2 linked regions of the Coturnix japonica genome follow. The protein of the gene in region 2 binds, or shares a complex with, the protein of the main gene of each other region. Links are inferred from orthologs where the notes say so. Each region holds a gene or a part of one and is shown on either strand. Other genes may lie near its edges.

The links. The genes of interacting proteins can lie anywhere in the genome.
Region 1: MED13 (region 2) and MED18 share a complex: the UniProt entries of both Homo sapiens proteins name them as parts of the mediator complex. The link is inferred for Coturnix japonica from reciprocal best matches to the Homo sapiens genes MED13 and MED18.

The regions. Positions count from the first base shown.
Region 1 is NC_029547.1:21,930,421-21,933,627, forward strand, and holds MED18 (mediator of RNA polymerase II transcription subunit 18), read right to left. Parts: upstream 2,308-3,207; 5' UTR 2,195-2,307; coding exon 2,122-2,194; intron 1,956-2,121; coding exon 1,402-1,955; 3' UTR 543-1,401; downstream 1-542. UniProt on the Homo sapiens protein: Component of the Mediator complex, a coactivator involved in the regulated transcription of nearly all RNA polymerase II-dependent genes.
Region 2 is NC_029534.1:6,168,989-6,172,739, forward strand, and holds the start of MED13 (mediator of RNA polymerase II transcription subunit 13), read left to right. Parts: upstream 1-1,146; 5' UTR 1,147-1,756; coding exon 1,757-1,822; intron 1,823-3,544; coding exon 3,545-3,751. UniProt on the Homo sapiens protein: Component of the Mediator complex, a coactivator involved in the regulated transcription of nearly all RNA polymerase II-dependent genes.

The DNA.
Region 1 (3,207 bases), on a different chromosome or scaffold from region 2:
TGTTTAAGGAGACTTATTTCAGTATCTTCTGCCGTACCCAGCCCTTGGGTTGTGTCTGAAGCTGTATGCCGCTTCATACACATACACTACAGTGTATGTAAAGCACTTAGCAGAAAGCAGCTTGACTGTGTTACCGAGGTTGCTGAAGTGAAAGCTGGAATATCCACATAAGCTGTTGATGTGTGAAACGTCTCACCCTGCACTCGCATATCAGAAGCATGTTAGACAATATAGAGTGCTTCCAAAGTTGTACTTCAGCTTCTGTGTTCATTTGTACAGAAATAACAACATTAGGGGAGAGTGTGTGGGGAGAATGGAGACCCAGGGCTGAGGAGTGCTGGAGATACAGCAACATTCGTGCTGTTAAAGCATGACAGCGACTGACAGCAATTGGTGTGTTTTAGTAAAAGGCAGCGTGGTTGTACGTTTCCATAATGATCTTGAGAAATGAAGACTACTTCATGTTTGCCCAAAATACTGGCTTGTATTGAGTGAAAAAGAATTGCAAAGAAAATACAAAATTAATGCAAATAGCTGACGGGTATTTTTGAAGATATATTTTTAATAAAACATACAAAGAGCACAAAAACACAGAAATAGTGGGATGCCTGACCTTGCTTTTGTGAAACTAATGCATCGTGCTGGGCTGATGGAAGTGGCTGTAAGCAGGAAGGAGCCTCTCTGTGCAGCCTGCTCCACGTCACCCCCAAATGAAGCAGTAATTCCTCACTTTGAGATGGACCTTCCTGTGTCCCAACACTGGGCAACAACAGTCAAAGCCTGGCCCCATCCACCTGACTCTCTACAGGCACATTCGGGGGCACTGGGCTCAACTTTCTGAGCCAACATATTGGCTGTGAAGGGTCTTAATTCTGTTTCTTCCCCCCAGGTTATAATTGCAGACCCAGAGCTTCCTGTTCTACACTAACAACAAAGCTGCTTCCAATAACAAACAGCTCCCAGTCTGGATTTGCTAGGAGGGAATCTTTCAGGTCTTTCAAATCTAAAACTAAGCAATTCCTGCAACTACTCCTTTCAGACATCAGGGACCGACTATCCAATGAATAATGCACTAAACAGACTTTTATTCTCTTCCATCTCTGGGAATTACATACATTCTGCTCTTATGCATATATGTAACCTGCATAACCAAATACCAAATGCTGGCTGAGCATCAAACAAAAACAAAACCAATACATCAAAGCCTTTTACCCCTTGCTCCCCAACAACATAAAGTCAATATCTCTATTTATAAGTGTTGCACCTTAATACTGCTTACTGCTCCAGCACAGAGAGGAAGCAGTGGAGCCCTGAACAAAAGTTCTGTGTGCATAGGACTCCAACCAGTCCCTGCACTCACTTCTGGCTACAGCAATGCTATGATAGTCAAGCCAGTTTTCATCACATTAACCTCTTAGGGTCAATTTTTTCCAGGTGTACTAAAGGCTTCAGCTGCTCTGCAAAGTTCCTCATATCATCAGAAACCATATCCTGTCCGGCTGGTGCCACAACATTAAGCTCTACAAGGTAGGAGAGGGAAAGCGGCTCGATGCTGTCCGTGTTACCAGGCATCAAGATACGGAAGATCTTATACACCACAATCTTCATGATCCCCTTTCGGAACACGTGTCCCTTAGCCACGAACTCGTGATCCATACGGAACCCCATCTCCACCAGGAAATCCGTCAGGTTGTCCGAGGTGGCGATGTCCACACAATTTCGCACTAAAGCGTGTCGGTTTTTATCTCCGATCTCCGGCTGCCCCAGGTACCTCAGGTGCCATGGCATGCCGCTTTTATCCATGGATCGCCGGGCACGCAGCACGAAGGGGCTGGCCTGCTGCCCCTTGAGCAGGAACACCATCTCGTGGTCCAGGAAGGTCTCCGGCTCCATGTTGTCGCACAGCCCACGCAGGCGGTGCAGCAGGCTCTCCAGGCTCTGGTCCAGGACGCTCCCTGTGGTGGACACACACGGCTCAGACGATGGCCCCTTCCCCGCCGCAGCGCGGGGCCGAGGCAGGCGGCGAAGGGGCCTCCGCGGGGAGGTACCTCCCCTTCGCCGCCCGCCTCGGCCCCACGCTGCGGCCGAGCCCCGTGTACAGCCCCTGTGTGCCGGCCATACCTTGCAGCAGGTACTCCATCATGTTAATAGTGCCGCCCGTAACGGGCATCATGGTGACGGGAGGCGCCTCCATCTTGGCGGCTGTGGTAAAGATGGCGGCGGGAAGAAAGGCAAGGCCTGAAGGAGGAGGCGGGCGCCACAGTGCGGCCTGGCGGTGAGGAGCAGCCGAACATCGACCAGCTCCCTTTCCTCCTCACAGACATCCAGTTATTCATCCCCAAGCACACAGCACTGCCCCTTAAAGGCAGATGTAAAGAAGGCATCGAGGAACTCAGCCTTCTCCTCCTCAGAGAATCCCAGCCTTCTCCTCAGTGATCACGTTCCCCGCTGCATCAAGTAAAGGTTGGGCATTTTCCTTGGTTCTCCTCTTACTTTGATGTACTTGTAAAGGGATTTTTTTAATGTAACGGCTTCTGCAATACCAGGTGAGAAGTGCTGGTATCACAGACCCACTTCAGTCTTTAATACTGCACTGTATGCTGGACAGTTTTCCTTAACCTTTTGTTTGCTAGGTTATTTCACTGCATCATGAGGTAATCTGAAAGTATCACAATTAAGCCAGTAAATCTAGGATTATTTTACTCAAACTGAAAAAGAAGTTCTGTACCAAAATGTACACGACTTAGTCATAATACAAAATGTTAATTCTACAGCCAGTTAAATCCATCATAATGAACGTTGAGCCACTGTTTATTGTCAGTACAGCGTTACTTTAAATAAGCTCACTGAGTGAACACAGAAATAAAGTAGATCTTCCTCAAATAAAGTGACAGCTATTAACAATACTCCAGGAAGATGTGCATCCATGGTATTTGCATGCTGTCGTAGCATATCTAGCATGTAGTACGTCTTCATGCTTGCACAGCAGCTTTGTGAGCTCATTACAATAATGTTGATTTGGTGATGCACTACAAGACAACCCATATGACTTACATTGAAGCTGAATTTTAAAGAGCACCTCTGCTAGACACCCGTTTAAAAGCTCCACCACATTCCTGTAGCGAACACATCTAGGCCAAACCACTGATCTGCCACCACCTCTGCCCCCTAAGAAGATCATCAAGCACATGAACAGTTCTCCTCCCA
Region 2 (3,751 bases):
ACAGAGGCACCGCTGAGGGACAGCGAGGAGGAGGAGCAGAGCCGGGGGCTCCGGGGCAGCCCAGCAGCAGCGATAATCAATCAGCGATCAATCAATCAATCAGCGATCGATCAGCGGCCGACTCGTCCTTCAGTCGGGGTTGGGGGGTGGGGGGGCTCCGAGCCCGTTCCCTTCGTGCTGAGGAGCACAGCCCGGGGCTCGGCCGCCGCCTCCCCGCCCTCCTGACGAGAGACTTCATCCACAGGAGGAGGAGGAGGAGGGGGCTCCTCCGCCCACCGCCCCCGCGCAGCGCCCGGAGCCCCCCGAGCCCCCCGCACCTGAGGAGAGCGGCGGCAAGAGCCCCCCCCTTATTCCTCCACACACATCCCCCCCCATCGCAGAAGAAACCAACCGGCTGAAGATCATCATTTGATATTTTTATTCTCCCCCTCCCTCCCTCTCCCCCCGCTTTTTTTTTTTTCCTTTTTTTTTTCTCTTATTTAACCATTATTTTTTAAGGGACCAGTCCCTCCTCGCCTTCCACCTCGGGAAGGAATTGGGGGGGGTGAAGGGTTGAGGCTTGTGAGGGTTTCGTTGCGGCCCAGAGGCCCCTCGCTGCCCGCCGTGACCCGGCGCCGGGTTGGGGGGGGGTTGGCCGCCCCCTGAAGACTCAGCGATTCCCCCCGACGGCTCCATTGGGACGCTCCGTCCGCGCCCGACGAGACTCCGAGGGCCGCCCGCAGTTCCAGCCCCCTCCCCCTCCTTCCCCCCACGGACGGATTCTCACCCTCTCCACGATCAGCGCTGATTTCGGGGACGGGGCCGTTTCCCCCCATCCCCCCGAGGAGACTTTTGCGGCCTTTCCCTCTCCAGGATCCCCCCCTTCCCTTCCTTTTCCTTTCCCCCCCCCCATCAGCTCCCGCAGATGGTTTTTGGGGTCTCCCCCCCCCAGGACGATCTCCTCTCTTCGGCCTTCTCCAACCCTTCCGGCTCTCCTCACCGCCGGCCCCTCGCGTTTGTTTTGATGATTTTACATTTTTAATTTATTGGCAATTTTTTATTATTATTATTATTTTTTTTTTGGAGGGGGGGAAAACGAAGAACCCCCCCAAGCCCCCCTCCTTTCCCCCCCCCCCTTTACGCACATATACCCTGTTGCCCTCGGACTGCGAAGCCACGAGCCCAGGATCGGGCCCTACCCGAGCGCTGCGCTGTTGCCCCTTTTCTCCCCGAAGGAAGAGGAGGATTCATTACCCCGTTGGATTATTTATTTCCCCGCGATCAGAGGAAGGAGAGATGCCGGCCGGGTTCTCCCATTAACCCCCCCCCAGGATTCGTTACCCCATTTTCTCCTGTTGGATACATCACCCCTCCAGAAGAGGAGCGGGGATTGATCCCAATCTGCGCTGCGTTACCCACCGCCTCCCTCTGTCCTCCCCTTTGCCTCCCCTTATCCTCCACCCCCTCCTTCTTATTTCATATCCAGACGAGAAAACGCTCTGAGTTTCTCTTTAAAAAATAATAACAATAATTTTTAACCCCCTCCCCCCCCCATTCCTCTCTCTTACACCCTCCCGGGTTATTTATCCTACCACTATTCCGTGTGTGTATGTGTGTACGTAAAGCCCTTATTTAACTGCATTATTATTTGTGCGTGTGCCTCGCCCCCTCCCCCGTCCCCTCGCAGTGTCTGTCTCCCTCTCCCTCTCTCTCTGTCTGTCTCTTTCTTTCTTGTCGGAGGCTGTGGGATAATGGCGTGTGGGTTGTGGCTGTGAGGATGAGTTCCTGCTTCGTGCCGAACGGGGCCAGCCTGGAGGATTGCCATTCCAACCTCTTCTGCCTGGTGAGCGCCCGAGGCCGCGCACACGCGCGACGTGAGCGGAGTGGGAACGGGAGGCGGCCGGGGGAGGGGAGGAGGAGGCCGGGCAGTGGCAGCAAAGCAGCCATTTTTAGCAGAGCTTCTGCTGGAGGAGCCCTCGGAGCAGGCCCAGCCGGGCGGCAGCCCAGCTCTCTCCGTGCCCCCCCGCCGCCTCGCCTCGCCCCTCCCTCCGCTTTCAGCCCGGGCTTCGCGGCTCCGGCCCTGCCCTCAACTTTTTGGGCTTTCTTTTACCTCTTTACTGAAGGGAGCTGTGCCTTCTCCCCTCGGCCAACTTTCTCCTTTCCCTTCCCGCTGCACGCATCCCACGGCCCAAACCCTTCTCCCTGCCTTTAAGCCACCCCCCGCCGCCTTTACCCCGAGACCCCCAAGCACTCTGCAAAAGCCTTCTATGCGTTGTGCACCATTTTGTGCTCTTTATTTTTCCTTCCCCCCTCATTCAACCTCAGTACGAAATTGTTGGGATTTTTTTCCTTTTGGTAGCGCAGATTGGATTTCATTGGGCTGTGATGCAATTTGGGTGCTGCACTCACCTCCTTCATCGGCTTAATGCAAATCGGCCGATATCAGATGGCTGCCCGATGTATTTTATCATCATTGTTATTGAAATCATTATAAGTAAAAGCATCCACCGAACCAACAAAACCTATGCCAGGCTGTGGGAGCTGCTGGATGGGGGAACCCCTTTGGGGCCTGCAACCCATTCTGCTGCCACCTTTGTAAATCCAGGCTGTCTGAATGTCAACTGTTGCAGCCCCCGTAGCTTCCATCTAAATTGTTTCTCCTCCTCAAGGTAGAAGGCTGCCATGTTAGGTTTAAATGTTGCAGTGATCTTAGGTGGAAATCAGTAACTTGTTGGCAAGTAGCACCTCGCCTCCGTGCTGCCTTCTTGATGGGAACTAAGGGGCATTGCAGCCCCAAAGGGCCTTAAGGCTGAAGTGCTTGAGGGGGAGAAGCTCAGTGTTAGAACTTAGTGTGGTGCTGGGTTGGGGATAATCCAGGAATTGTCGCTTTCCCTCTAGGTATGGTGGTAGCTCTTCGCTCTATAAAGTCGGATGAAGCTTTGCCCAGAAGGGGATTTAGTGGATCATAACCAATGATGTGTAATTTAATGAGAGAAACAGGATTTAAATTCTTAAAACGTGGGGTGGGAAATGAAAAGCGTGATGGCTCAGAGTGAAATAAGTGAGCTTGAGGAGCTTCCTGCACACGATAGGGAATTTTACAATAGGGAAGCAGTGAAATCTTCTGAAGTAGCAGAGGAGTGGCAGAACGTGTGGCTGAGCTGGGTTTTTTTTCCCTATTTCCTGTATCCTCAGAGTAATCTTGGATTTCAAAAGGCAGCGTAAGCAGAAGTGAGCATGAAGTGAGTGGTTATTTGCTAAGGCGAGCGCTTCTAAGATTGGACATTTGGAGCCTGCAAAGAATTAGCTAATTGTTGCTCGTTTTTCATTTTTTGTTTTAAATCAAATGGGGTGTTTTTTTTCTCTGTCGCTTTAAAGCTGCAGTGAAAACGCTCAGCTCTCACTTTACTGCAGCTATTAGGAGATTTAGAAACCAGGTGCCTGGTTATTTCCAATTTACCTTCTCAGGTGCGCAGAGCTTAGAAGCGTGGTTCCTGTTACAGCTGGCTGTTTCTATTGGGAACATACCCCGATGTCTGATGGTTTCTTTTTTTCCTTCCCTTAGGCTGATCTAACTGGGATTAAATGGAAGCGATACGTATGGCAGGGTCCAACGTCTGCCCCCATTCTCTTTCCGGTGACGGAAGAGGACCCTATTTTGAGCAGCTTCAGTCGCTGTCTGAAGGCAGATGTGCTCAGTGTTTGGCGCCGAGACCAGAGACCTGGACGCAGGGAGCTGTGGATATTTTGGTGGGGTGATGACCCCAATTTT